Macaca fascicularis: one gene and its partners. The protein of the gene in region 3 interacts with the protein of the main gene of each other region in a pairwise test. Links are inferred from orthologs where the notes say so. Each region holds a gene or a part of one and is shown on either strand. Other genes may lie near its edges. The genes, in order: NR4A1, SCAND1, PGBD1 and MEOX2.

Evidence for each region.
Region 1: the proteins of PGBD1 (region 3) and NR4A1 interact in binary tests that used the Homo sapiens proteins (3 or more experiments, as listed by UniProt). The two-hybrid records come from large-scale screens. The link is inferred for Macaca fascicularis from reciprocal best matches to the Homo sapiens genes PGBD1 and NR4A1.
Region 2: the proteins of PGBD1 (region 3) and SCAND1 interact in binary tests that used the Homo sapiens proteins (3 or more experiments, as listed by UniProt). The two-hybrid records come from large-scale screens. The link is inferred for Macaca fascicularis from reciprocal best matches to the Homo sapiens genes PGBD1 and SCAND1.
Region 4: the proteins of PGBD1 (region 3) and MEOX2 interact in binary tests that used the Homo sapiens proteins (3 or more experiments, as listed by UniProt). The two-hybrid records come from large-scale screens. The link is inferred for Macaca fascicularis from reciprocal best matches to the Homo sapiens genes PGBD1 and MEOX2.

The regions. Positions count from the first base shown.
Region 1 is NC_088385.1:58,870,318-58,878,388, reverse strand, and holds the start of NR4A1 (nuclear receptor subfamily 4immunitygroup A member 1), read right to left. Parts: upstream 4,924-8,071; 5' UTR 4,717-4,923; coding exon 4,623-4,716; intron 1-4,622. UniProt on the Homo sapiens protein: Orphan nuclear receptor. Binds the NGFI-B response element (NBRE) 5'-AAAGGTCA-3'. Binds 9-cis-retinoic acid outside of its ligand-binding (NR LBD) domain.
Region 2 is NC_088384.1:92,036,318-92,042,868, reverse strand, and holds SCAND1 (SCAN domain-containing protein 1), read left to right. Parts: upstream 1-3,628; 5' UTR 3,629-3,684; exon of another isoform or gene 3,685-3,746; intron 3,747-3,792; 5' UTR 3,793-3,847; coding exon 3,848-4,387; 3' UTR 4,388-4,508; downstream 4,509-6,551. Other genes in the region: CNBD2 (cyclic nucleotide-binding domain-containing protein 2), read right to left, coding at 345-395, 3,426-3,551. UniProt on the Homo sapiens protein: May regulate transcriptional activity.
Region 3 is NC_088378.1:144,897,196-144,905,311, forward strand, and holds the start of PGBD1 (piggyBac transposable element-derived protein 1), read right to left. Parts: upstream 4,999-8,116; 5' UTR 4,579-4,998; intron 2,742-4,578; exon of another isoform or gene 2,722-2,741; 5' UTR 2,683-2,721; coding exon 2,287-2,682; intron 940-2,286; coding exon 783-939; intron 1-782.
Region 4 is NC_088377.1:114,504,158-114,512,294, forward strand, and holds the start of MEOX2 (homeobox protein MOX-2), read left to right. Parts: upstream 1-3,315; 5' UTR 3,316-3,594; coding exon 3,595-4,108; exon of another isoform or gene 4,109-4,155; intron 4,156-8,137. UniProt on the Homo sapiens protein: Mesodermal transcription factor that plays a key role in somitogenesis and somitogenesis and limb muscle differentiation. Required during limb development for normal appendicular muscle formation and for the normal regulation of myogenic genes.

The DNA of each region.
Region 1 (8,071 bases), on a different chromosome or scaffold from region 3:
AGTCGATGTGAGTGAAGAGAAACCAGCCAGCAAGCACATTCCCTGGAGATAGCATGGCCAGGACACACAGGAATGGGAGCAGTGGCAGGATCCAGGCCGCAAGAGGGGGACAAGCCATCCCAAGGACCTCCCTGGGTTAGGCATCAGAGCCTGGGGGCCCAAGCCCCAGGCAATCTGCTTCCAGGGGTGTAGGGTGTGGCCAGGAGCTGCTGACAGCATCTGGGGCATTTCAGAGCCATATAAACACATCAGCATCTAGTCCCTCCACCTCATACCCTTCTCTGACGTGCACAAAAGGGCATGTTGCAGGCACAGGAAGGGAGCTATTGTGAGGATAGAGCGGAATACCCCTCTCTCCTTAAGAGGCTCTAGTTTGGCCCCTAAAGCCTCAGAGGCCCCCAAAAGGCAAGGGTTCCACTCAGAGTAGAGTGGATGTGGGATCCCAGACTGTCTGGGTTCAAATCCTAGTTCCACTGCTTATCACCTTGGGCAAATTACATAATCTCTTTGTACCTCATGCTCCTCATCTGTAAAAATGATGACATCTCTAAAATTAACAATCACAGGGTTATCAGCAGGCTTTTAAAACAGTTTTTTTTTTTTTTTTTTGAGACGGAGTCTCGCTTTGTCGCCCAGGCTGGAGTGCGGTGGCACCATCTTGGCTCACTGCAAGCTCCGCCTCCCGGGTTCACACCATTCTCCTGCCTCAGCCTCCGAGTAGCTGGGACTACAGGCGCCCGCCACCTCGCCCGGCTAATTTTTTGTATTTTTAGTAGAGATGGGGTTTCACCGTATTAGCCAGGATGGTCTCAATCTCCTGACCTCGTGATCTGCCCACCTCGGCCTCCCAAAGTGCTGGGATTACAGGCGTGAGCCACTGCGCCCGGCTAAAAAAAGTTAATGTGTAAAAGACTTAGGACAGTGCTAGATACACATATCTGCTACATGTCATTATTAGGAGAAGTTCAATGAGGACACACACATAAAAGCTAGCCACAGACCCTGGTTCCTAGTCCAAGGCACCCTGGGCACCTGGCCTCTCCTTCCAGGGTGGAAGCCAACTATGTGCCTCACCCCACACCCCAGCCTCTTCAGCTCTCCCCTAACCCCGTTCAGCTAGGGTACCTTGACCCACATCTCTCCTTCTCTTCCTCCACCCACTCCAGTGCTCTCTCCTCTCGACTACGCTCCAGAGTGAGGGCAGGACCAGGCCTTCACTGGCTATTGGACTGCCCTTAAGACCGATGAGGTCTGGGAAAAGAGAAGGAGATGATGGGAGCTAGGAGGGACAAAGAGGAGGAGGACCCCAGAGGGTGGGCAATGGGCTTCCTCGTCCTCCTGACCTCTGCCCAAGGTCTACAGGCCAAGGGGAGGACCTCTGGCCCACAGTACCCAGGCTCTCCCCTTACGACATTACCAGCACCCCTCCCTCCCGATCCTGTGGGTATGATGGGGAGCAGGAAAAGGCCACAGGAGAGGAGGGAAGGGAGGGCAGACTGGAACATCTGGAGCATCTTTAACCCTAAACAGAAAGCAAGACGAGGCTTCCAATCTGCCCCAGCCCATGGACTACACCTGCTTTCCAGGATGACAGTGTCATCCTCCCATCCCCTGGAAACTGGTCTATAATTTCCCCCAGCCTTGTCTTTTCTCCCTACCAGCCCACTGCTGAGAAGGAAGGGTAGGGAGGGCCAAATACCACCTACCATAATCAGGCCCAACCTGAGCACCCAGCTCTTCCCCATCTGGTTCTCAGAACAGGGGCCAGAGTCTGGCACCTGGTGGTGCCCACAAATGATTTTAGCATCTTCAAGCAGGTATCTGTTTCCCTGCCTGCTCCAGATCAAAATGCCCCCCTCAATAGTCACACCACAAGCATTTACTGAGGACCCCCTGGAAGCTAGGCAGCGTGCCCCGAACCACAGGAGAGCCAAGAATGAGCACACCAAGATCCCAGAGCCCCAGGATCTGATAAGGGATGAACCAAGGTCAAGGACAATCTGCACTGGGCAGAGGGCAAACCAAAGGCTGAGTGGGCTTGGCGGAGAAAGTGACCCCCAAAATGGGGTGGACCATCAGGCCAGATTTCAGTCCCCAGTTCCTGCTCCCCACCAACCTCATTTCCCAGCCACTCGCTGTGGTCCCGTCACATGGGCCTTCTCTCCCCACTCAGGGCCTCTGCATCCACCGTTCCCTCTGCCCAGAACTGGCTCTTCCTGATCAACCAGGTTTCCATTCCCATGTCACCTCCCTGAACAGCTTGTACCCCCACCCCACCACACTAGCCTGATTTTTATTCATCAGAGGTCTAATGTTCACATCTGTTCACTGGTTTATTACCTGTCTACCCAACCAGAATGTAAGGATGCTGTCCATCAGAATCACTGCAGAATCTGCAGTCTCTAAACTCTGCTCAGCACTGGCAGGTGCTCAGTAAGTGTGCGTGGAAAGGTGGGGGGTGCACATGCCTGCATTGGAGCTGTGCTGGGAGGAAGGTCAGCTAGGTGGGGACAGCATTCCAGCTCAAGAGCTGTCCCTTCCATTTGGGGGCAGATCCAAGAGCCAGAGCGTTCTTCCTTATGTTGAATCACATCCCTGACTCTAAAAGTCCCTGGATCCCTGCTCTGTCCCCTGCACTGGCCCACAGGAAGCCTCATTCTAGTCCTTCCTAGCAAGTATTTTAGTCTTTTCTTAACTAAACTGCTCCTTGCAACAGGACACCACTGACAGGCCCTCTGCCTGACAGGCCCTGGTGGCCTCCTGAGTACAAGTTCTACATTGGCCAATATCCCTACCCAGAAATGGGAATATTATTACTATTAGCAATAACAACAGCCGCTAATATTTGTTAAACAACATGTGCCAGATACATTAAGCACTTTACATGCATTTTCTCATTTCAGCCTCACAATGCTATGAAGAAGGGATTATTATTATAAACATTTTACCAATGAGGAAACTAAGGCCCAGAAAGAAATGTTAAGCAACTTGCCGAAGGTCACACAGCTAGGAATTGGCAAAACTGAGATTAGAACCCAGGGAGCCTAACCAAGGAGTCCAGAATCAGGCATTCTTGCTCCCCCTACCGCCCACTTGGACCTGTGTAGTGGATGGAGGCTTCACACTGCACAGAGCAGTCCCACAGCCTCCGTCCAGGGAACAGCTCAGAAGCTAAGGGCCTGGGTTCCTGGGCCTTTGAGCCAGGCACAGGGCCTGAACTCCTCAGCTGACTTTCTTAAGTCCAGCAGAGGCCTCAGCACAGGCCTCGTCAGTCACATTCACATTGTTAATCTCAGCCCATCCTTCTGCCCAGTTGCCTTCAATTAGAATCTTGATTTTATACTGTGCACTTGTCATTCCTCACAGCTCTGCATGACTACAAGGAGTCGGCTGACTTCCTTTTTAAGTCTTCATCCAAGTCACCGATCTTAAACGTTCACTTGGAGTAGGTCTAGGAGCAAGTCTTGTAGCCCCACCACTAGGGCTCCAGGCCAGGCTGACAACAGCCCCCAAATCCATCAGCACCCACTGGGCATAACTGTTGTGAAACCGACCTCTGCTCAGCCTGCGTTTTCCCAATGTGCCGCTAATACTAGCCCCACATCCAAATTAACAATTCACTGTAAACCACCTCTGTAGCGTTTCCCCTATCCACCAGGTCATCTATCAAAAACGAAGGCATAAAAACGATATGAGCCTGCCAGGCGCGGTGGCTCACGCCTGTAATCTCAGCACTTTGGGAGGCCGAGGCGGGCGGATCACAAGGTCAGCAGTTCGAGACCAGTCTAGCCAATATGGTGAAACCCTGTCTCTACTAAAAATACAAAAATTAGCCAGGCGTGGTGGCGGGCGCCTGTAGTCCCAGCTACTGGGGAGGCTGAGGCAGGAGACTCACTTGAACCCGGGAGATGGAGGTTGCAGTGAGCCGAGATCACGCCACTGCACTCCAGCCTGGGCAACAGAGCGAGACTTCATTTCAAAAAAAAAAAGGGGGGAGGTAGGTTGTGGAGGGGAATGAGCCAAGTCAGGGAACTGTGTCCTGTCCTCAACACAGACCACCATGGTAAGGAGGTCTGGAAATACCGCGCCCCCACCCCTCCCAATACAAGGAGGGAAGATGTTGCGGCAAAAAAACAAAACAACCACCAAAAAAACACGCCTGGGAGACACAAGCCCCAAGTCCTAATCCCCAGCTCCGCCTGATTCCACGAGACCCCTAGCTTTGGTTTCTTGACTCAGTCCCGTGAAGGGGTTGCATCGCGCAGCATCCGTCCCTCCCGGCTGGGTCTCCTGGTAGACTCCTGGAAGCTCCCGCGCTCCTGGAACCGGTTCCCGCAGCCGGCGGGGAAATGGAAGGAATTTCTCTGGCCTGGCCACCTCCAGCGCCCCTCGTGGGCCAAACCCCACCCTTGGCGGGCTGGGGAGAGAAAGCCTTGGCCGTCGCCCTTGGGGACTGACTCTGAGCCAGCAAGTTCCGCTGGGAATCCAGTCCCTCCCCCGACTCCCCAGTTTCCAAGCGGGACTCCGGCGTGGCCCTGAGCCCGCCCCAAGGCATCCACTAAAGACCCGAGATTGCCCAGCCTTTCTGGGGCCCACCTCCCGCCACACCGGCAGCCCCTCACCTGGCCCCGCGGGCTCCTCTAGCCTCTCCACTCCTGCTTTCCGGGGTCGCGCACCAGCAGGCCCTGAGCTGCTCTGCGCCGCAGGGGCGCCCATGCCTGGAGGCCGGGGGTCGCGGGCGCCGCGCTGGGACCCCGCCAGTTCCGCCGCCGCCGCCGCCTCGCGCTCTTGCAGCCGCGCCGCCGCCGCTCGGCGCCCCCCGCCCCCAGGAAGCCCCCCGCCCGCAGTTCCGGCCTCGCCGCGCCCCCCTCCCCCGCGCCCGCGGCCGCCCGCGCGCTGTCCCAGCCCCGGCGCGCCTCCCCCGGCGGGCGGGGCGGGGACCGTGACGCGTGCCCATTGACGTCTCCGGAATCCCGGCGGCGGCGGCCGACGCAGCCTCATCAATGGGGCTAAAAATAGCTGCGCCCGGAATAGCCGCGAGCGCCCCGCCCCGCGGCTCCCCCTACTCCGCACACCCGGTTACATAACCAGCGGCCAGAGCCGGGGAGCTGGTTCTCAGGTGAGGGTGCCGAGGCCTCGCTCACACCTCCCGAGGCGGCGCACCTGGGGCTAGGTTATAAATAAACTTACCCGGGGCTTCCCCAGGAAGAGGTGGAAAGAGAGAGGCCCAGAGAGACTCGGTGGCGGCCGAAAGTCACACAGCGATTCGGCTACTGGCGAAGGCAGGGCCTGGCCTTTTGAGTCTGCGGGCGCCCTGCCTGCATCGCTTGGCATTCATGCCATCCCAAGGGCAACGAACCCAGGTAGTAGAGTACCCAGCTTCCACACGAGAAGGCAGCTTACAGAAAAATAGGACTTCCTCCTGAAGAGGGCACTGCCCGAGGTGGTGGTGCAGGCCCCGGCAAAGCCCAGATGATGGATTCACTGACCTGGCTGCTCCCATACCGCTGTGTGACCTAGGGCAATCACTTGACCTCTCTGAGCCTCAGCTTCATCATCTCTAAAACAAAGATGATATGATCAGATTATCCACCCTATCTGGCTGTCAGGATGATAACAGCTGTGGAGGTGCCTTGTACACAGTAGACCCTGAGGGTTAGTTCTCCCTGCTCTCCCCAATCCACAGGAGTGTTTAATGCATTCAGAGACCCACCACCGTGGCCAGGAAGCCCTGGAAGGCCCACCCTCCTCTGACCGGAGTCTCCAGGCCCAGGCTTCCACGGTAAGAATCTTCCTGGGGGTGCAGGCACTTGGAAGGTTTCTCTCTCCCATGTGACTGGAGCCTTCTTTGGAAATGGGAGAATCATCCTGTCCTGAGCAAATCCTTCTCCCCCATCAGCTGCCCACTCAGGAAAGGCTGGTCAGGAAGGCCAGCTCAAGGTTGGAGCAATGGTGTTGGGGCTGGCTGGGTGGGTGGGGTTTGGGGTTACCATCTCTGTTCCTATACCTCCATACAGGCAAGGTCACTGGGGAACACCCATTAGGGAGGATGCAGTCATGTGCTCTGCTGTGCCAGCCACTAGTCACTGCTCCCTTTTGGAGCCACCTTAAATTATGAGCATGCTATACAATCTCCAGCACCCAGGCCAGGCCCCACGCAGCAAAGAATCTCTTCTGTGCTCAAAATTCTCCAAAAGAGGCCCCACACCTCCACTCAGCCCTCATTCCAGGGGCTGCATTCCTCTCTCCACCCCGCTGCCCACCCCCAGAAATCCTTTGCTGGACCAATCCTAAACTCTTGGTGAAACTCGGAATTCCCTTTCTCTCATTCTTCATAATGATCCCAAGAACCTCTGGTTTGTCTCAAAATCACCTCCCAAGAACCTGTACATTTCTCTCCCAGGTTCAAGTATTAGGTCAATTTACAGATAAAGAAACTGAGGCTTCAAAAATGGCAAGGTGTCAGGGTGGGGGAAAGGGACAGGCTTTTCCTCACTCACCCTGTGTCCTCCTCTTTCCTACCCCAGCAGCTCCTTTCCGATGGGCTTCTTAGAGGAGCAGCTACCCCACCCCCTCTTTTCCTTTCTTTTTCCAGAAGTCTAACTTTTGAAATACATTTTAAAATATTTGCCTGTGTGGGAGAAATACATTTATTTAGACAGGAAGGGAAAAAAAGGGCTCAGTTACCAGTTTTTCCATGAAGGCTTCCAGCCCACAGAGGTCTCTCCTTTCCATAAATACTTTCAGCATAACTTGTCTTTATTATATATTCTCCTATTTATAATCAAATAAAACATATTCTAAAATGTGGAATGCCAGAACACGCACACTTAGGGTGGCATGTGGAGGCGGCGTGAGATGGTGGAAGAAGCAGTCTCTAGAGGTCTGGGATGGACACTGGTTGTCAGAGAACTGAACAGCTGTGGAGGTGCCTCGTACACAGCAGGCACTCAGAGTTAGTTCTCCTCCCTGCTCTGCCCTAGGAATGTGATTTCCCACAAGAGGCTCTATCTCTTAGCAGCTGTGTGGCTTCAGGGAAGTTACTTGCCCTCTCTGGGCTTCAGTTTTCTCACCTCAAACACAAAGATAAGAAACCTATCTCACAGGGTTGCCATGAGAGTGTCTCTTTGATAGCAGACATAAAGCATGGAGTCTGGCACATCGTGGCAGATCTACCATTTCCATACAGGAGGACTTGGAGGACTTGGGACCTTGTCTTAAAGCTGTACATCCAAGGTGCTTACCCTAGCTTTGCTCAGCTGGTATGTTTATTGGGAATACTGGGGGTCTTGGGGGTTGCACAGATAGGAGCAATGTCACCTCTTAGTCATTACAAGTGTCCAGTAAACATCAGCCCCATTGTTGTCTCCCTGATCCAGGTCACTTGGCTAAGGAGTGGCCCAGCCAGAACCATAGCCCTGGTCTTCTGTCTCCATAGCCCAGGTCTTCTGACTCCCAGGCCAGTGCTCTTTCTACCCAGCCTCTTGTTCCTTCATATCTGATTCCTCTTTTTTCTACAGGCACTGCTTCACAGCCCCTATTGCAGATAGGAAAGGTGAGGAGAGAAAAGGTGAACAACGTGCATGGCCCAGGGAGTTGGAGCAGAGGGGAGACAGGCCCCACGGCCAGTGACGCCCCACATTGTGGGAGGTTCCTAGAGGACAAGCTCCTACGCAGAAAGCTGACTCCTAGTCTGATGGGGTGGCAGGACACAAGAATAGGTATGGAAACATTGCCAGGACATCCAAGAAGTGGCCTCCAAGAAGCCTTGAGCTGGCATTGGAGTGGAATCTAGAGGACTAATCTCAGAGGCCTCCCTGGAGGAAGAGAATGTAGGGCCCAGTGTGAAAGAAGAGACAGGACCAGGCAGGGTATAGGGAAAAGGCACTCCATGGAGGACAGAGGCTGCCCCCAAAGCTTAGGTATGCAGCAGGGCACGGCTGAGATCCTGAGGGTGGGAAGCAGTGGGCCAAGGTGAGTCACAGGACGCAGGACCATCAGCCAGACTCTCAGTGGCCCTCCCCAGGTGCCCTTCCATCTCACAGCATCTGAAATCCCACCCCACCTAGGA
Region 2 (6,551 bases), on a different chromosome or scaffold from region 3:
AGTATGACGGCTCTGATAAAGAAGAAAATAAGTATCCAAGCTTCTTTTCCACAACCCTCAACAACAAAGTGCCATCACAAGGCCTGAGGTCTCTGAAAGAGTCTGGGACTCATATGAGAGCTCTGCCTTCCCAGGGATAGTCTGCAATCCACATTTGTCCTCTTTCCTTTAACCAACACTGAGGCTGGCTAGGAGTCAGGCCTTGTATTGGAAGCTAAGTGATATGAGATGAATGAGTTATGATCCCTTCCCAAGTGAACACCCAATCTAGGGATAAAAAGGCGTAATAAGATAAGAATTTGGGCTAAAAGTCAAACGATTTCTGTCCTCATGGAATCACTTACTAGCTTTCTTATTTTGGACCAATCCATCTTCTGGCATCTTGGCCTCTCAATCTGCAAAATTCAAAAGAATGAAATATAAATGTATATTTTTAACTTAATCTGGGACCCCTGGGAGGGTTCAAGGATATATGTAACTCACATGAAAGTAGATAACTGTATCCCTTTTTGAAGAAGAAGCATTACATTTTTTTTTTTTTTAGACTCTGGGAATCTGAATGTTTTAACTTTTATCATGGACATTTTCAAGCATATACAAAAGTAGAGTGTACATATTGCCAATCTTTCAAGTGATCCGCCCACCTCAGCCTTCCAAAGTGCTGAGATTACAGGCATGAGCCACCAAGCCTGGCTAATTTTTTGTATTTTTAGTAGAGACGGGGTTTCATCATGTTGCCCAGGCTGGTCTTGAACTCCTGAGCTCAGGTGATCCGCCTGCCTAGGCCTCCCAAAGTGCTGGGATTGCAGCCATGAGCCACTGCACCTGGCCAACTACTGAGCCAATCTTGTTTCATTTATTCCCTCCACATTATTTATTATTTACTGCTGAATCACTTTAAAGCAGGCTTACCGGCCCATAAAGGGCTGGATTTTAAAATTCAATTTCTAAGGCCCCTTCCAGTCTAACATTCAATGATTCTAATAGATCTCTCAGGTCCCTCCTTCTCTAATAATTCACGATTTTAATAGGGATGGAAGAAATAAACTAAAGATCTAACATAACATTTCATAATATTCCAGGTGCCACAAAAGTTCATTCCCTTTCATGAGAAGAACTAAATTTTAAACATGGAATTCTAGGACATTTATGATTTAACCTCCAGCAGTGTTCCAACCTCTCTCACCCCTTCTCCAGATCGCAACCACCTTCCCATGTAGCCTGCAGTTTCTACAGTTTTGCTCCTACTCACTATGTACCTTTGTACAGGCAGTACCTTCTACCTGGAATGTCCCTGAGCCCCACCCATTTTCTTCTTGCGTCTCAGCTTGAAGTCCCCTCCCCAGTGAAGACTTCTAGCACCTCTTGCCTCCACAGAAGGGTTTAGTGTGCTCCTTTAGCCCTGGAAGCTGAGTGCCTGTTGCCACACAGGGAATAGCACTGTTGGTCACTCTATGCAGCAAACCCAACTACCAAGGGGCCAGACAGAAGTCCAGGTTTGAAGCCAGTAGGCATAACAAACACTAGGGCCCTGCTTTCTCACCTCTGAATAGAATAGAGAAAAATATCAGCTCTAAATAAAGCAACAACCTGAGAGCAACAGTAAATGCAAACAACATTCTATTTCAGAGAACCATAGGGAATGGTGGAGATTGAGACCAAATGGGACAGAGTATCTTGTCTAAAGGAAGTCGTCTCTACTCAGTGTCAGTTGATTGTTGACTGGCAGGAATTTGGGTCCAGTGTGGCCAGCTCTTCCATTTTTTTCAGGAAAAACCAGAAATCCAGATTTGCATGTGAAATCTCCCAATTTTCACATGTCAGCAACTAAAAAGCATTAAAGGCCCATTGCAATGACTTTCAAGGTTTTCAGGCTATGGTAATGATTTCATGAGGGTCCACTTCTACCCATCCAAAGGAAACATCCTATGGTAGGGACAAGTTTTATATCAGGGCTAACGGCGTGTTAATGGTTGTTAAACATGCTCCTCCATCCTGCACAGAGCTCAAAAGGACTACAAGTGTCATACAAAACCTTTCATATGAGGCCCCTGTCCTTTCAGGGCCTCAGTTTCCCCTTCTGTAAAATGAGGATACAAACCCTATTTGTGGCCAGGCGCGGTGGCTCACGCCTGTAATCCCAGCACTTTGGGAGGCTGAGGCGGGTGAATCACCTGAGGTCAAGAGTTCGAGACCAGCCTGGCCAACATGGTGAACCCCCATCTCTACCAAAAATACAAAATATTAGCCGGGTGTGGTGGTGGGCGCCTGTAATCCCAGCTACTCAGGAGGCTGAGGCAGGAGAATCACTTGAACCCGGTAGGTGGAGGACTCAGTCTCAAAAAAAAAGAAAAAAGCAACAACAACTATTTGTGAGTCAGCTATCAGACAGAAAACCACCTGGCCGAGGGCTGTCAGGGCCACATGCTTTTTACCTGCATCATCTCACTGAATTCTCAATGACCTCTGAGAGGTAAGTTCTATTACATCCACATTTTACTGTTAAGAAAACGGTAGCTCAGAGATAGCAAGCAGTTTACCTAATAAAAACAAAAGCAAACTTCTTAAAAGCCCTTTCTCTCCAAGGGCTTAACTTATTTAATCCTCCCAGCAACTCTGAGGTGGGTACCATCAAAGGGGATTCCACCAAGGCAAAAGGCAGCCTCACTCCAATCCTCTAACCCAAGGCTGCTCAACAGAAATATAAAGTAAACCGCACATGCAATTTAAATGTTTTTTAGTAGCTGCAGTTAAAAAGTAAAAACACAGGTGAAATTAATAACATTTTATTTGACCCAGTATATGCAAAACATATTACAACATGTAATCAGTATTAAAAAGTATTGAGATATTTTACATTAGTTTTCTCGTATTAAGTCCCGTATTTTACAATATAGCACATCTCAATTCGCTATATTTCGAGGGTTATCAACTAGCTCCGTTGCAAGAGCTCAGTCAACTCAGGCGGCCAGCGGCCACCATAAAGGGCAATGCATTTACAATTCACTTATTAAATCCTGAAGTTAACAGAACCTACAGAGCCTCCCTTCCCTTGGTTTCGGAGGACACGCGAAAAATAACAATAGCAAAGAGTTCTCGAGCATTTCCTTCGCGCCAGACGGTGTGTTGTAGTTTGTCATCCTCGCAGTAAGGCGGGTGCTATCGCCCTCCTAGTTTGACCAAGCGAGAGGACTTTCTCCAGCCGGGCCCTTCCCGAGAGAACGACCGCCGTCCCGCTCCCCTGTTCGGGTCACAGGCCGGGCGCCACCCGGACAAGCCCCGGCCAGCTGTCACCCTAATCATTCCTGAAGGAGGGGCCGTCACAGTTACAGCCCATCAGGGTCAATCAGGAGGGGCGCCCGCACGGAAAGGTCACCTGCAAACCGAAGCGGCTCAAGAATAAGTTCCAGGACTTAAAAGTTCACCTCGAAACATTCAGGCTCCTCCTCCGACTCCTCCTCGAACTTGCGCTCAGAGGCGCCACCATTCGGAAGGAGCCCAAGCCACGCGCCGCTCGCCCTCCTGCACTCCGAGGGCAGCCGCCGCCTCATGCGACTCGAGAACGCTAGAGGGCGCCGCTTCCGAGAGCCCGCAAGCGGCTTCCGGGGGCTCTCGCGCCGACCTGGACGCAGAGAAGCCAGAGACTTTTCGTTTCCGGCTGCCGCAGCCGCTTCGCTGGTGCAGGTAAGCTCCGCGCACTCTCGGCCGGTCCCGAGTCCGCCTCCCTCAAGGGTGGCGCGAGCTCTGCCCTTTAACCGGAAACGTCTCCCTGCTCACCCCGCCCGCGCGCAGACGCAGTGCTGAGCCCACAGCTACCGGACAAAGAGTGACGCCCGGAGCTGGAGTTATGGCGGCAACGGAGCCGATCTTGGGGGCCACTGGGAGTCCCGCGGCGGTGCCACCGGAGAAACCGGAAGGAGCAGGTTCGAGCTCAGACCCTGAGCTTAACTCTGTGGGCTCCTCGCTGCCGAAGGCCTCACCGCCTGCCCCGGAGCCCTCCAGCCCCAACGCCGCGGTCCCCGAAGCCATCCCTACGCCCCGGGCTGCGGCCTCCGCGTCCCGGGAGTTGCCCCTTGGGCCAGCACCCGTGAGCATCGCGCCTCAGGTCGAAGCCGAAACGCGCTCCCCACCAGGCCCCGCCGGTTCTAGACTCGGCCCCGAGACGTTCCGCCAGCGTTTCCGGCAGTTCCGCTACCAGGACGCGGCGGGTCCCCGGGAGGCTTTCCGGCAGCTGCGGGAGCTGTCCCGCCAGTGGCTGCGGCCTGACATCCGCACCAAGGAGCAGATCGTGGAGATGCTGGTGCAAGAGCAGCTGCTCGCCATCCTGCCCGAGGCGGCTCGGGCCCGGCGGGTCCGTCGCCGCACGGATGTGCGCATCACTGGTTGAGCGGTGGAACTGCGGGCGGCCAGGGCCGGGCGCTCTGTGTAGACTGGGGCCATGATCGGGTCCGGAGACCTGAGCCTAGGAGCCCACTCCATGTTAATGAAAAATGAGTTTTGGCAGCGCCTGTGGTCTGGTGTGTCTCTTTCATTCGTTCTTTATTGGGTTTATTTTACCAAGCCTATTTACCACCGCCTTTCTGGCTGGTGCCGAAACGAAGTTGGGAGTCCCTAACAATAAGGCCTTCGTTGGCTATAGTGGGATCTTTCGATGTTGTCTGAAACTGGGTTATCCCCTCTACCACATATGGGAAGTTTTTCACCTGAGATCCCAAGGACCCACTTGGGTTTCTTACACGCAAAATAGCTGGCTTTATTAAATGCTTACTTGACTGGCTACCTCTATACCAATATGAGCACCAACTTGCACCTGCCCTTTGGGTACAGGCTTCCCAAAATGTCCAAGTTACTGAGCCATTTTAATGTGAAGTGTTTACTGCAAACCTTCACAGAGATAGGCTAGTTCCTGTGAGCTCTGGCTTATGCCACCAGACTTGCTCAACTTCCTTGCCAAATTTTAGGCCTGTGGTAGGAATTAAGCAGAACTAGTTGAAATAATGGATTATTTACATTACGGAAGCTACTCATTTTAATGCAGGCTCCCTTTTGGTTAAACTAGCATAACTGTTTACAAAGGGAAGAAAGAATTTGGCAAATAATGAGGACCTGTTCTGAAATCTTAAACCTACTGTTTGCAGAGGCTTCTGCCCAACCAGGAAGGAGCTAGTTGGGGTCCATGGACAGCTTGGATTGGTCCCAGATGGGTCCTATTGCAGTGAGTGCCATTTGTTAATATAAGGAAGGCCAGACTTGTCTTCCTTGCACTGCTCTCAACAATCAAAATCAGCCCGCAGTTTACACCAGAAAGCATGAGTGAGACTGGGCTGGGAAGTTGGTGAGGGGCATTTTGCTTTTGAATATTAAAGACAAATTGAGAAGTATCTTTGCATTCTTGGGATTTCTTGGCAGAGTTTGCACCTGCCTCCCTGGAAAAAGATAGTTGTTTAGAAGGTAAGAACAGGCTTCTTTAAAAGGTAATGTTTAAAGAAGATTAAGGATAGGTGAAGGACAAGTGCAGTGGCTCACGCCTGTAATCCCAGCACTGTGGAAGGCAGAGGCGGTGGATCACTTGAGGTCAGGAGTTCGAGACCAGCTTGACCAACAGTGAAACCCCCATCTCTACTAAAAATACAAAATTATCTGGGTGTAGTGGCACATGCCTGTAATCCCAGCACTTTGGGAGGCCGAGGCGGGCGGATCACTTGAGGTCAGGAGCTTGAGACCAGCCTGACAACATGGTGAAACCCCCATCTCTACTAAAAATACAAAATTAGCTGAGCATGGTGGTGCACGCCTATAATCCCAGCTACTTGGGAGGCTGGGGCAGAATCGCTTGAAACCGGGAGGCGGAGGTTGCAGTGAGCGGTGATTGTGCCATTGCACTCCAGCCTGGGCAACAAGAGTGAAACTCCATCTCAAAAAAAAAAAAAAAGGTGAAGAACTTTATACAGTCATGCGTCCCTTAATGGGGATACCTTCTGAAAGATGAGCCCTTAGGCAGTTTTACTGTGTGAGCCTCATAGAGTGCACTTATGTAAACTAGACGGTATAACTTATACACACCTAGGCATTGTGATAGAGCCTGCTGCTCCTAGGCTACAAGCCTGTACAGCATGTGACTGTACTGAATACTATAGGCAGTTGTAACAATGGTATTTGTGCATCTACATAGAAAAGTTTCAGTAAAAATATATAATAGGCTGGGCGTGGTGGCTCACACCTGTAATCCCAGCACTTTGGGAGACCGAGGTGAGCAGATCACAAGGTCAGGAGTTTGAGACCAGCGTGGCCATCATGGTGAAACCATGTCCCTACTAAAAATACAAGAATTAGCTTTGCATGGTTGTGGGCACCTGTAATTCTAGCTACTCGGGAGGCTGAGGCAGGAGAATTGTTTGAACCTGGGAGGCGAAGGTTGCAGTGAGCTGAGATCGCGCCATTGCACACCAGTCTAGGCAACAGGTGAGGCTCGGTCTCAAAAAAAAAAAAAAAAATATATATATATATATATATATATATGTATGTAGAGATTGCGGGTCTGGACGTTGTTC
Region 3 (8,116 bases):
CCAATCCTCAAAATGATCAAGAAGGTCCAAATTATTGCTGCCAAAATCCTAGGCACACTCAGAAGAATCACAGCTGAGTGCAGAGTACACACAGAGATCAAACAGATAATTGTTGACTAATTGAATGGCCTATTAAATGACTTGCCTAGGTCACACAGTTGGCAGTTGGCAGATGGCAGAGTACAAAATTATCAAATGAAGAGCACATGTGGTAATTCTAACCCAAAATATAAAACAGAACATCACTTTTCTTTGCTCTGCTTTTCTTTGCTTCCGTAATGGACCACTATGGAATCTTTTTATTGCAGTTGTTTCATTTCTAGAAGGAATAAAGTTTGCTGGAAAAAAAACAGCCTTGCCCCAATTCACTTTTACTATTATATGTACTTGTCCACAACACATACATACTAAATAAACCAGCTTAAAAAGCACAGTGTAAAATAAAGCAGGTCTTTAAAAGTTTGTCCAGATACAGGGTTAGACAAAAAAATAAAACTTGATGTTGGTCAAAGGGTACAAACTTGCAGTTATAAGATGAATAAGCTCTGAAGACCTATGTACAGAATGGCCACTATAGTTAATAATAATGTATTGTATATTTGAAATTTCATGAGAGTAGATCTTAGGAATTCTTACCACAGACACATAAAAGGTAACTGTGAGATACGTAAGTTAGCTTGTGGTAATCATTTCACAATGTATACAAACTTGAGGACAAGAAGGCTGTGCAAGTGTCAGTGGCCAGTTCCCATTGTCCTCACTAAACTCACTCTAGCACTCACCACTCACTTCTTGGGGGTTCTCTTGAGGAAGCGGTGGAGGTTCACACTTCAGAGTGGTTACCCCAGGCAGGAGCTGGAGGCTCGGACATTCCAAAGAGACTCCTTGATATTCTGTCACCACTGGGCACATGTCCTGTCCCTGAATATAGACAGAGGCCTGGAAACAAAAGATTTATTTTGAAAAGGCATGCATATATGGACTGCATGCTAAGAGCCAGGCACTGTTCTATATGCTGAAGATACAGCAGCAAACAAAGCAGAAAAGATAGGCAAAGGACTCCAGCCCAGAAAAACAAAAACAACAAACAAGTGGATGTTTAAACTAGCTGGTCAAAGTTTAATGAGGAACAAGATATGTACACCAACTCAAAATGTCTCCCACAGATTACTTAGTAATTACATAGGGGGAAATGGTAACTTTCTAGTGGAGAAATTTGACAGGTACCACTGTAACCTCATCAGTAATGGGACAAATCATCACTACGCACCTCCTGAAGTGATGCACTGAGAACACAACATTACCTCTGTGGTATTCTAGTCAAAATGTGCAGCCTGAATCTGACCACGAGAAATTATAGGACAAACTCAAATTGAGGGATATTCTCCAAAAAAACTAGCTGTACTATTCAAAAATAACAATGTCATGACAAAGAAAGACAGCAGCTACTCCAGATTCACAAAGACTAGAGATATGGCAACTAACTGCAATATGTGATGCTGGCTCGTATCCTGAATCAGAGGAAAATTATCATAAAGAACATTATTAGGATAACATGGCAAAATATGAATAAAGACTAAGGTTATATGACAGTATCATAATTTTAATTTCCCTAAACCTGATTTTTGTATTCTGGTTATACAACAGAATGTCTTCACTCTTCAGAAATCCACACTGAATGGCCGGGTGCAGTGGCTCACGCCTGTAATCTCAACACTTTGGGAGGCCAAGGCAGCATGATAACTTGAGGCCAGGCGTTCAAGATCAGCCTGGGCAATACAGCAAGACCCTACCCCCTCTACAAAAAATTAAAGATAAATTAGCCAGGCATGGTGGCATACACCTGTAGCCTCATCTACTCAGGAGCCTGAGGCGGGAGGATTGCTTGAGCCTTCCACCATTGCAGTTCAAGACCGCAATGAGGCTATGATTGTACCACTGCACTCCAGCCTGGGCAACAGTGAGGTAAAGGGATATAGTGTTTGCAACTAACTCTCAAATGGTTTGAGGAAAAAAAAAATACTGTATGTGTGTATGTATGTATGTGCGTGTATACATGTACATATGCATATTGGGGGAGATGCACTTCCTTGCACAAGTGTGTACACAACAATGGGACTTCATGAAACAGATGTTAACTGGCAAATCTGGATGAAGTTTACAGGAGTTCTTTATTCTTCTAATACTTCTATAAATTAGAAGTTATTTCAAAATAAAAAGCTAAACATCAACTGATACATGTCCCCCTGTTCTTCTCCCGCACCACCACACACATTTTCTTCCCACCTGTTGTCCTGTGTCTCCACTTCCTGTCTCCAGATTCTCCAGCACGGTCACTGCCTCCTCTCCACTCTCCAGAAGATATGTCTTCACACAGGGCTGGAGCTCCTTGGGCAGGATGGTCAGGAACTGCTCCAGCACCAGCAGTTCCATTATCTGTTCCTTGGTGTGCATCTCGGGTCTCAGCCATTGATGACAAAGTTCTCGGAGTTGGGCCAGAGCTTCCCGGGGTCCATGAGCCTCCTGGTAGCAGAACTGCCGAAAGCGCAGGCGGTAAATCTCCTGAGTGTAGGAGCTGCTCTCCTGTGAGTTGCACACCTGCTCCCAGGTGGGATCTTCCTCCTTCACTTTCACAAGGCCATCTTCATTTTCAGGAGCAGGGCCTGGCAAAGCTTCATACATGTTGAGTTTAGAGGCTAAAGCTTCACTTAGCTTGGGGGTCTGTGTTCAGAAATAGAGATCTGAGGCATAAGAATTGATCAGCAACACACAAATTCTAAGACCTTCAAAACTGTATGTAATCTACTTATATTTTTGTACCCACTGTAGGTAGTGCTCAAAAGCTGAGCCTGCTTCCTTCTATTTCTCAGTGAAATGAATCAGAAGTATGTTTTGAACTAGTACTAAAGGGTCTGAGTCCAGAGGTAAGGGATGTAGGATATGAGGGAAGAAGCGTTAGCAATAAGAATGCTCAAGAAGCTTGCACTTTAGCTGGGGAGAAGGGATCATTTTACCCATTGAGGAGGCAGATGGCTGCCTTCATGGGCAAATAATACAGTCTCAAAGGTCATCTATATCTGTGTAACTCTCACTGAATATTCCGCTTTAAATGTAGGTGTAATAGACTGCTTCCAAAGTCTCCCATCCTCAAATACCTTTTGTGATGAGATTTTGCCACTGTTCTCATCAAGGGGTGGAGTCTATTTTTCCTTCCCTTGAATCTGTTCTGGCCTATGACTTGCTTTGACCAATGGAATACGGCAGAAATGACATTGTAAGAGAGAGAGTGCTGCTGTAGCTCTTGGTTCACTGCCATAAGACTGCCATGCTGTGAGAGGCCCAAGCTAGCTAGACAGAGGTCATGTGGATGAGAACCAAAATGACCAAGCTAAAACCCAGCCGGGCCTAGTGCTCAAATAATTCACCAGCGGAATGCAGCTCTATTAGTAACTCCAGGTGAGACCAGTAGAACTACCCAGTCAACCTGCAGAATCCTGAGGAACAATAAGCTGAGCTTGTTTTCAGCCACTAAGTTTAGAGTTTGATTTTTGATGCAACAACACATAACTGAAACAGTAGAAATGCATCAAGTTCTTTTCTTCCCTCTCTTCATTTTTTCCTTTGTGATCTCCTTAGTCACACTTTCAATATATCTCTGTTCCCAAGAAGACTCAAATCTTTGGCTCCAGCTTGCTTTTTGCACTCCAAACCCACATCTTGAAATGCCAGCAGCTGTGGGCTTCTCCTGCACTATAATTTCAACAGATCTCAAACTAAGATCAGAGTTCCTCAAAGCTGCATTCACTCCGTATTTCTCCATTTCTACTGGCATCACCATCATCTTCCATGCATTCAGTCTTTTAAACAGCCTCTATATACAATCAGTGAATCAAGTCAATTCTTAAAAATGCCTCTTGCAGCCATTCTTTCCTTATTATTTTACTATCATTTTCATTCACTGTCACAATAATGTTATGGTATTCCTGCCCAATTCCCCGCTTCTATGGTCACTGGATTAATATTCCCTAAAGCACAATTCTGACCATATTCAACATACCTTACACACACATAAACACATACAAAGTTTTCATTAAACTCGTTGAAGTAAACTCAAACTCTCCAGGATCTAATCTTTACTGGATTTTGCTGATTTGTTTGTCACTCAATAAACATTTGTGGAGCATCTCATTGTTTTCCAGGCATAAAGCTAACTCTGGAATAAAAGACTTAGTTCCTACTTTCAAGAAAGCCATGGTCTTCCCAAATTCCTTATCTCACTGCCATGCTAAGTACTCAATTTTTTTTCCACCCACTCTATACAGTCAGGACCCCCCTTCTAAGGGTAAAATCCCAAGGGCCAGCGCAAATGTTCTATGTGAAACCTTCCCTGGCCACCCCTAACCCTAACATATAGACAGGAAAAGTAAGCCACACAGATAGAGATGGGTGTTCCCATGGAAAACTGCTCCCAACCTTCATCTCCTCCATCTCGTATTACAGATCACCCAGCCCATCCCCACCCGGGTTCTTGAGGACAGGAGTTTATCTCTGCATAGACTCTACAAGCCCGGCACGTACCTGGTATTCAACAAATACTGATGGACTTCTTCACGAATGCACGTAAAGCACCTGAGATGCCAGCAGCCAGCACCCTCAGGCGCACCCCAGAATGTATTTTTCTGAGATTACACCCAGCATCTAGCACCGCGCCAGGCACTGAATACCTGCGTGTCTAATTGTTGGTTAATGGACCAAAAGTTCAGGAACGCGCACAACAAAGACGTAGCCGACCTCGTGAAAGGCTCCCGAGGGAGCGCAGAGGCCCGGGGCTGCCCAGTCGAGAGCGCCGGTTTCCCCAGAGCCCAAGCCGTGCTACTGGCGGGCTGGCGGGGCTGATGGGTGTCGCCGGCGCCTCCGGCAGCTGGGCCAGCACAAAAGCTTCTCCACTCGCCGCGCCCGCAGCCGAGTGGCGGAGTCTGGCGGGTTCCTTGCCTCTCTAGGAGCACGGCCGCTCGTCTCTCTGGTGATCCGGGAGGACCCCCACTGCCACCTCCCGCCCCGCCCAGGTCGCTCTCCGCTGCCGGACCTCAGGCCCATCCGGACGGTGCAAGCACGCCCCACATTTATGTACATCATTTCAATAAAAAACCAACAGAGTGGTAAATGTCTGTCTTCGGGGTCATCACTGGTTAGGAGGCGAAACAGATCAATTAAAAGACCATTATAGTAAGCTGTACAAATTATTTTAAGTATACATAATATACGTACAATAAAAAAGTCAAGTTGCAGAAGGACCATAAAACGAAAAATGTCCCACTCTTTAGAGTTAACCATTGTATTTTGTGCATATTTATCTAGGACACTACCTGTCACACAGTAGCATGTAATAAACATTTTGTTTAGTGAATAAGCATTTATACATTTAAAAACACTTATGGTATCATAATGTAATTTTGCACCTTAGCTCTTTTCGGTTAAGACAGCTTGGAGATCTTCACAGATCAGCTTATTCTTTAACAGCTAAGTAATATTGTATGGGTGTTCCATAATTTACTTAACTATCCTATTGATGCATACTTAGGTTATATTTTTTCTTTAAAAGCCATGCTAGAGGGAACATCATTCAATACCTTTACATTCTTTTAAGAATGTATTTCTAGGATAAATGCCACATATTAGAACTGATCAGCCAAAGGACATATGCATTTAAAATGTTGATATGCAAGTTCCCTATTTGATTTTTAAGGGCACTTCTGTTTAAGAGTAAAAGGAGACTTTAGTAGAAAAATCAGTAAAGGATATGAATGTTACTATACACAAAACAAGGTAAGTGACAAATTAACATGTGAAAAGATGTTCAATAGTAAAAATATAAAACACTCTTTTAAAAACAGACCCATTATTTATTCATTTACCCACTGAGTTTTGGCAATTATGAATAAAGCTGCTATAAACATCTGTTTATAAGAAAACAAGAAAAAAGAAAAAGAAAACAAGAAAAAAATGAAAAAAATGAGCTATCGAGGCATGAAAAGACATGGAGAAAATTTTAGTGCATACTAGAAAGTGAAAGAATCCAATCTGAAAAGCTACATATTGTACGATTTCAACAACAAGTTGAGTATCCCTTATCTGAAATGCTTGGGGCCAGAAGTGTTTCCAATTTCAGATTTTGGAATATATACATACATTATGAAATATCTTAGGGATGAGGCCCAAGTCTAAACATGAAATTCATTTGTTTCATATATACCTTACTCACATAGAGCTAATTTTATACAGTTTAAATAATTCTGTACATGAAACAAAGTCTTTTTTTTGAGATTGAGTCTTGCTCTGTTGCCCAGACTGGAGTGCAGAGGCACAATTTTGACTCACCGCAATCTCCGCCTCCGGGGTTCAAGCAATTCTCGTGCCTCAGCCTCCCGAGCAGCTGGGACTACGGGTGCGTGCCACCACACCCGGCTAATTTTTATATTTTTAGCAAAGATGGGGTTTAGCCATGTTGGCCAGGCTAGTCTCAAACACCTGACCTCAGGTGAGGAGCCTTGGCCTCCCAAAGTGCTGGAATTACGGGCTTGAGCCGCTGTGCCTGGCCGAAACAGTTTTGACTGCATTTTGTCTATGACCTGTCACATGAGGTCAGGTGTGAAATTTTGCACTTGTGGCATCATATTGGTGCTGAAAAGTTTCACATTGTAATGTGTTTTGGATTTTCAGATTGGGGTACTCCACCTGTATACATGACATCCTGGAAAAGGCAACACTATAAAGACTGTAGAAAGGTCAGTGGTTGCTAGGGACTGGAGAAAGGGAGGGATGCATAATAGGTAAGACAGAGAGGATTTTTAGGGCAATGAAACTACAATGGTGGACACATTATTATGTATTTGTCCAGACCCATAAAATGTACAATACCAAGAGTGAACCCTAATGTAAACTGTGGTCTTTGGGTGATAATATGTCAATGTAGGTTCATCAATTGTAACAAATGTCACCCTGGGACAGGATGTTGATAATAGGGGAGGGTATACCTGAATGGGAGCAGTGGGTATATGAGAAATTTTTGTATCTTTCTCTCAATTTTGCTGAGAACTTAAAACTGCTCTAAAAAGTAGTCTATTAAAAAAAGCAATCCATTTTGTATGTATCAGTTGTCAAATATTCAAAAGAATAATTCCCAGAGTTTATTTGGGTATAGAAAATTGGGCATTATCACAGGCTGCTAACAAGGTATCCAAATTAGTATAACTTTTCTGGAGGGCATTCTGGCAAATACATCAAAAGCCTTAGAAAACATGCCTACTTTCTGCCTCATTGATTCTCATTATGGCAACTGAACAAAGAAAAAAATTCTGTAAGTAGGCAAAGTTGTATTTCCAAGAATGTTCACTGAAAAATTGTTTATGGTGATCAAAGTGTAAATGACGTAAATGATTAACACTGGAGACATATACCATAGAATATTGCACAGCTTATATGGAAAATTACCTTCCACGAAGACTTTTAATGATTAGCATGTCTTAATCAGGGATTTGTTTGAAACCTTTATTAGAAGGAAACAGTATTCTATGGACTCCCAAGACCAGGATATATATGGATTGCAGAGGCTGAGGGCTGAAGTTGCCACACCTGATTCATGGGATTCCCACTTCAGGAGTCCGCTTCATTTTTTGTTTCTCAGTTTGTCTCGATTTGGTTTGGTTTTTATGTGGCCACCAAAATTGTTCCAGTGTGTGCTTGTGTCCTCTATTTTTCTATGTATATTTTAGACAGGGTCCTGTTCTGTTGCCCAGGCTAGACTGCAGTGGTGCAATCATGGTTCACTGCAGCCTTGACCTCCTGGACTTGAATAAGCCTCCCATCTCTGCCTCCCAAGTAGCTAGGACTACAGGTGTGCACCACCAACCTAGCTAATTTTTTTCTTATTTGTAGAGATGGGGTTTCGTCATGTTGCCCAGGCTGGTCTCCAACTCCTGGGTCCAAGTGATCCTCCCATCTGGGCCTCTCAATGTGTTGGGATTACAGGAATGAGCTACTGCACCTAGCCTCCAACTCTATATTACTTTTGGGTTCATATGCCTAATAAACATTAATCAGAATCTGTGATCCAATG
Region 4 (8,137 bases), on a different chromosome or scaffold from region 3:
TTTAAGCCAAAGAAGCAATAGATATACACACTCATCAAGTTTAAAGAACCTAGCCTACATTTAAAATCATTATAGTTGTGGAGCCTACAAGAGCTAGGTAGCTTACCTTTTCACATAATCAACCTCTTTATAATGTGTTACTGGATATTGAAACCTTCCATGAAATATTGGCATTAATATAACTTTTCTTCAGGAAAACTCAAGTATATTGCAAATATTAGATAAATACTATGTCATATATAGTTTTAAATGATTGTTTATATAAATTTTATGATAAACTTTATAATTTTTACCATTCTTGATATCATTAAATAAAGAGGCATCTTCTCAATATTGGATTTTATGGATGTGACACTGAAGTAGCTGTTATAGGAAAGCTAAGGATTTTTTTTTCCTGTTTTTACTACATTTTAAAAATTTCTCTAAAACCTAGAACATAAAATTCAATATTCTATCTTATTCCAAATATTTGAATAAATTAATATTTAAAAATCTTTATGTAATGATTAATACATATTTAGAAATCCAGAGAAAATTAAAGTCCTATTTAATTCTGGAATTTACCAAGACCTCCTTTTTAGTCCTTCATTTTTTTCCTTTCAAATATTTTCCTTATGTTGTGTTTTCTATAAGAAAACTGGACTTCATAATTTTTGTTGATATTAAATGTTTTGCGTCTCCAATTAAAAAGACCTATCTTACTACCTTTGCTTTCATTGCATGCCTTTGCAATGACTTCCTCCTTTTCTAACCTTTCCTAAATTTTTCTTCTAGAAAAAGTTCTAGAGGCTGACTGACTGGGGCAGGTTGTAGAGAAACTTCTGGACAGATTGTTAACATCTGACACAATGAGTGAGAAAAAATCCAGCACAGTCACTGGGCAGGTTTAAGAAGAAGTGGCAGCTCTGGGAGATGAAAGATTTGTGTGTTCTTGTTGCTAGTTACCTGCAACACTCTGGTTAAATTCAAATCCATTCATTTGGTAATTGCTTAGCTTCCTCTAAACCAATGTAATGCAAACCAAAAGGACCATTGTGGATGTTTTGGACTGATGTCTGCAGATCATGTGTAATTTTAGTCTGTCTTGTCTGACATTTTCCACAATGCTTTAGTTGACAGCATTGTATTATGTAAATATTTCTGGTTAGGCTTATTGAGGTGGTTGCCTAAATCTCACTTTAAATAAAGCGTTTAATGCTTTCACCTAGAATCCATAGAGAAGCTACACAAGTTGGGGAAGTTTAGTGTTGCTCTTTGTACTTAAACTTTTAATATCAGAGCACATATTGAAACCATAAACACAATGAAAATACAAAAAATATTCCGACGATATTAGAGGACTATAACTCCCCCACCTCTTTTTATTCTTAAAGAGCCAAGGGCGTGGGGAGTGGCAGGAAGAAATATTCTTAAGATCTAAGTCCTGGACGCCATCCTGCTAGTGCTTAAAGCCCCTAGAAACGTGCAACCTGAACAACACCCCCTTTCGAAGTCTAAAACAATATTAGATTCCCAAAGTATCGGCAAAGAAATTCTTACCGTCAAAGACTTGCAGCAGGTTTCAGCTCAGACCCAGACTGAAAAGCTGAGCAGCTGGTGAACAAAAGTTTTAGTTTTTTTTTTTTTTTTTAAACGAAGTCTGCAAAACTAATTTCCCTCAAAATAGAGCTCAATTTCCGTTAAAGAAAGCAGCGCTTACAAATCTCAGAATTCCTGATCAACCCCCACTCCACCCCACCTCTAAGCAATAGAAAACAATTCGATCTTTCACACGGATGTTTTTGAGAAGCCACTATTCTACAGCATGACTTACAAGAAAAGAAGATAGTGAGGCTTAAGCAGGGGGACTGGAAGAGGAGGGGGAAGGTTCTGCTTTGGGGACACCTCTCAAAGATTAATCAATACTTTTTCCTAATTCAAACCAGATGTCTAGCCCAGTTTGCTGTACCCATTAATCCCACTAACAACTTCAAAGACCTGCTCATCATCCTCTGGACACCTGAGACAATGAAAATAACGGGGCGACACTGCTGGTGGTGCATTTGGGGCCCCGGGCGGAATAGGTGACTACAGATATTCTCCTGATGCGACAGGTCCCAGATGGGACTTGACTGTTTCTCCTGCTCATTACAGAGCCACTCACTTGTGTGTAAACGACTCTGCCCCCAGCGGACCCTGTCACCCGCCAAACAAGTGGCAGTCTCAAAGCCCTGCCATCGTTCTTGCATGCTTACTGGAGGCAAATTTTCTAATTTATTTTCACGGATGCAAAGTTATAGCCAAGTGCCCAAGCTTAGTGAATTTTGGGAGCTATCGAAATGTAAGATTTCTCAGTAAATGGGACGGTGGTGATAAGGGATGCGATTAGCGGATTTATTTTTGAGGGGAAGAGAGTGGATTTCTGTAGGAAACTGCGGAGACCTAGGCTAGCTCCTGAGGGGAAAGGCTAGATATGTGCGTGCAATCTACACATCTCATGTGACCGGGACAAAATCGCCTGGAAATATTTTTGACCCAGGAAAATTTCTTCTTGGTGGACAAGTGGCTAGGAAATTGAGCGGGACCAGGAAAGAGGGGGAAGGGAGACTCCACCTGGCATCGCACAAGAGGATGCCAGGGAACAGGCATCTGCAACCCTTTCAGACTCACGCCTTCCTCCCACCCACCCTACCGGGTCCCTCTTGGTTCCGCACTGAGAACTGCCTTTTCCAGGCCATGGTACTCATCCCCACAACCTCAGATCTGGCGTCCCAGCCCATTAACAATCCACCCACAGAAACCAGCTGTGAAAACCTAGGCGCGCTGCGGCGCCCAGGGCACTGGAAGATGCGAAGTTTGAAAAACTTCGAGGATGCGCCTAACTAGCTCTGATCTTTTCGTTTAACCCTATTACTTCTTTTGGGTTCCTGAAAGGCTAGGCATATCCCTAGCTTTTCTGCAGGTGACAGTTCACAAATGACACTGACAAATCACGATTCCCGGAGAGGAAAGTGAGTAGGTAGGAATCAGGGTGCTGGGTTGGGGGTGGTGTGCGCCGCGCCCAGGCCTCCAGAGTCTGGAGGGCAGAGCTGCTGCCCTCCCGGGCGGGACTTAGGCACTGGCGTGCCGCTTGTAGCCCTGGCAGCCGGCAGTGCTGGGCGGGCGTGGACGCTCTGCGTCTGTCCAGCAGGCGATAGGAAGTGGAACTGGGGAGCGCGTGGCGCAAACTGAGCGGGAGTTTTGGAGGGAGTTTGCATGTGGTCAACTCTGGGCTCCTAAGCCGGCCCCCAGCTCACGTTACACTCTATTTATAACCTCTCAGAGCCATTTCCCCCTGAAAGCAGTTCTCTGGGACCACCTTCTTTTGGCTTCAACCTCTCCCACTCTTGACATCTGAGTAGTTCAGGGAAGCTCTTCCAGGTCCGACTGTTCATATGCAAAGGAGACTGGTCGCTGGGGCTCAGAACCGGGATTATCCGAGCTCTGCAGAAGTGCACGGCTATTGCTTTGGGAGGGTAAAAAAAAATCATACGGTTTCCAGTGAAAAGTGACAGAGGGTGGTGACCTTTGGAACCGTCCTGAAGTCTTCTGCCTGGAACCTGAAACTTGCATGCTATGGAACACCCGCTCTTTGGCTGCCTGCGCAGCCCTCACGCCACGGCGCAAGGCTTGCACCCGTTCTCCCAATCTTCTCTCGCCCTCCATGGAAGATCTGACCATATGTCTTACCCCGAGCTCTCTACTTCTTCCTCATCTTGCATAATCGCGGGATACCCCAACGAAGAAGGCATGTTTGCCAGCCAGCATCACAGGGGGCACCACCACCACCACCACCACCACCATCACCATCATCAGCAGCAGCAGCACCAGGCTCTGCAAACCAACTGGCACCTCCCGCAGATGTCTTCCCCACCGAGTGCGGCTCGACACAGCCTCTGCCTCCAGCCCGACTCCGGAGGGCCCCCAGAGTTGGGGAGCAGCCCTCCGGTCCTGTGTTCCAACTCTTCCAGCTTGGGCTCCAGCACCCCGACTGGGGCCGCGTGCGCGCCGGGGGACTACGGCCGCCAGGCACTGTCACCTGCGGAGGCGGAGAAGCGAAGCGGTGGCAAGAGGAAAAGCGACAGCTCAGGTAAGGGCGCACCAGGCACCCTCGAGAGTGCGCGCCGGCCTGGAAAGGGGGCGGAGAGATGCCAGGGGAGATTCTCGCACTACAGGGTGGCAGCGGGGAATATGGGAATGTGTTGCCCTTTGTGGCTTCCCGCGGCCAAATTCGGCGGTGAAGCTTTGGTCCTGATATTTGGGGGACACGTGTTTATCCGAGAGCAATGCATATACAGCCAGCAGCTCTAAGCTCTCCAAGGTCCTAAACTAGTTTACCAGAAGGTTGATAAAAAAGGACAAGTGGCTGTGAAATCGATTGCGAAGCGTGACCTTCCATCCCAGCGCTGGGGAGGGAGGGGCGTGCGCCCAGAGATGCAGCGTCGGTTGGGCAGGCGTGCGTGCGGGTGCCGCTTCTTGACTTTTCTCTTGCAAGTTCCCGACTGTGAGTGGCTCGATTTTTCCCATCGTTAACTGGATTTCCAAATCATTGCACAATATTTGGAACTTGCAGTGGAACTTGGCAGAGCGCATGAGAAAAAAAAAAGTTTTAGTTTTTTTTTTTTTTTTTCTAACATTCTTATTTCAGCGTTCTTTAAATAGCACCCTATTTCAAATGGTAAAATTTTCCCTTTATTGGGGAAAAAGACATTATCTAGGAATTCAGATTTTAAGGAATGTGTCAGAGAATTGTAAATAAATAGATGCTCACATTGGAAGAAAGACGAACCTTAATAGTACATGTTCATGTGGTGTAAGCTAATTACAGAATCAACGTTTCAAAAGTGGAAAACAAATCCCTCTACCAAGTGGGTATTAGTAGAGACAAATACAGCGAAGCAACAGTAGCTCGGGTAGTGTTAGTTAGCTACGTGCCTGAAGGTGGTATGTAAGGGTGCGCGCAGGAGGCGCTGATTTTAGTGGGGGATAATTTGAGCAGCCACGGAAAAGGGAAACCTTTCTGACCTCTGGTACTTGAAGACACACTTGCCGAGTAACTTTTCTGTAGCAATCCAGAGAAACTCAAAGTTTTCCAGACCACTTTTCAAAGCTCTTACCTACCTGTATTATCATAAAATTGTTAAAAGATACTTTAAAATTAAGAGACTTGTGAGTTTTCTTTCGTGGCTATAGTGCAACCTGGATTGCATATTTTTGGAAGATATCATTTGTTTAATATAACATTTGCATATTTTTCTTCCTCTGCGGAATTGGGTTAATAATAGTCCTAGAAGGTAATCCCATATGTTGGTTTGAAGTATTGGACAAATGTTTATCGTGTATAAAGCTTTAGGTAAGATGCCACCTAAATGAAAATGATTGACCGCATATTTAATATTCCTTCACCCTTCACAGCAATATCAATTGTTATTCAGCAATCCTATGGGATGGATTCTTCTGTCATGGTCTCAAAAGCTAACTTTTATTTTCCAAGGTCAGGGGGTGAACTTTTAATGTTCTGTCACAAATTAGTTTTTATAAGAAAATTACCAGTAGTGTCACTGATATTTAATGTACTTTCCTAACTATAAGTGAAAGTCTCTTTAGATAGTGAGTTGAATGGTTAATCATAGCAAGAAGGTTTCAATTTGTATTAGAAAAACAGTCAATTTTAGAATGCAGTGACAATTTCATAAACCGAACATTTGATATCAGTGTCACTTTGGAAGCAGATCCCAGTTCAGGTTGATGAGAGTACTCTTGCAATTCCCGTAAGCTCTTACTGTTCATTTTATTTTTTGCAATGAGTAACCTACATGACAGATTGTCCTTTATGCTTCCTGAACTGAGCCATTGCTCTTAAGTTTCTTAGGGCAAACTGAATTTTCATACAAGCACATGTTATTTTGTTTGGGGGAAACCAAGAAAGTGGAATTCAGTAACTGATTCCCTTAATTTATTTTAATAATTTTTTTAAAGTGGAATAATTTAACAAAACGTGTTTATCTCTCCTCCTAACTTAGTGGGAAATAACCATTTAACAAAATTAAGTTCATTTCTACATGTTGAAGCTGATAATGAGGGTACTGGAAAAACAAGCCAATATAAGTGTTTGTGTCAGCTGCATAAATTATTAACAGATTAAAACTTGAGTGGAAAGTACAATTAGTCATCACCAAGGATAAAAATACTGGGGACTTAGGACGAGCTTTTCTTTCCTTTGATATTTTGAAGAAATATTGACTAAAAGGAAGTATCCCAATAATTTCTGTTTAAATCTATGTACACTTATTGAAAATAAAATTTTATTTTCCAATTTCAGCTTGAGGTATATTTGTCAGATATTCAGATAGATTTAAATTAAAGATATCTTTCTCGTGTAACAATTGCATTAGGTTTTCCATAAGTTATCTTCAAAGATATTTTATTTCATAGACATCTTGATCCAGCACAAACTAAAGCAACATTGAAAATGATTATGATCCTGGTATGCTATTAATACGTATATCTCTCATTGTTTATAGCACATTTTAGTATTTCACTATTTGTAAAAAACAAAATTGAAGTGCTTTCAGAACTCCTGAAATTTAAAATTGTGTTAGATAAAAATCTCATCCTATATAGTGAGACCATCTGTATTTTGGTAGGTAGTTTATAATTACTTTTCATTTATGGTTGAGAGAAGATTTAGTACATAAATCCAGGGTAAAGTCAGAACCAAAATTCTGTATCCCTGCATCTAATACCTAGATTGTATGTGTTTGCGCTAATTACCATGTTAAATTCTAATAGAATTTTAAGCACCAGAAAATATTGAAAAACAGCTTAAATATTTATAAACCTTACTATTTAATTTATAGTAATGATTTAAAACTATAATATGTAAGCTTCTATAGTATATATTTTATGCATTTTCCCTCCACAAATGCACATGGACACACACATATATAAACTCTAGCAGCTTCATGTTTTGGAAGCAAATATTTATGGACTTTAGGCTTCCTTTACATAAGTTTATTGACAATTGAAAATAACCAAATTTAATAGAAAAGCACGCCGTTATATTTTATATGTGTTAAACATTTTTGTAACTTTGAACCTGCTGCGCTTTCCAGCATTATTAGCAAAGCCAACATCTGCCACGTCTTCAAAGGGACTCTTAAAAATCAAAACTTTACAACTGTGCTGAAAAAAATCACTACAAAGCAGGTGATTCTGAAAAATGTCTATAAATAGTGTGAATTGCTTGGTTTCAATTACATTTGATTGCTCTTTGAGCAATCTAGTAGTAGGAATAAACTGCCCACTTTTAGTTAAAGTAACTAAAATTAATTCATTGATCTAACTTTAGCTTTTGTGCATGCATTATACAGTGTACATATCTAGATATTTTCTATTCAAATTTATGAATACATATTTTATAAAAAATAAAAATTATATCAAAAAAGAAAAGAGCGATTTGGGGAGGTAGATTTAACTAGGTTTTGAATCATATTAGATTCTTGTAAAATTACAAATATTTTATTTATAGCTACTATATCATAAAGCCTTTGCTGTCAAATTATGTCTGTCTATATGCTTGACTATGCAGAATGAGTAGCAAATATTACATTTAATAAGCTGGAAGTTAAACTCAGAGTAATACCTTCTCAACCTCATTCAGTATTACACTGTAATATTTCCAAGACATTTCAATCATTGTGTTTTCTGAAAGGAATAAAATAGTGTTATTTTTCATTTCTGTGTTACTGGATTGTGGCTTTTCGGCATTTGCTTCAGAATTTAAAAATAATATACTGGATCTTGAAGGTTATAGTGAAGTATTGAACAAATCAAATGGATTTGTTTTTCACTCTTTGTCTTGGACTCATAGACTAATTTTGGGTGTGAACATTTAAAAATGGTAATCTGCCATAAAAAATTCTAAGTATCATTGACCTACATGAGTGTTCTAAAATACAATCTAAAATAATCACACTCAAGTTAAAAGCAACAATTCCTTTAGAATTAAAATGCTTTATTGTTGAATGTTAGCAATGAATGGAAGGAAGAATGCAAATAAAAGTAGGAATAGTTTCCACTTCTGTGTAAATTTCTTCATTTATAGTTCATTTTAAAA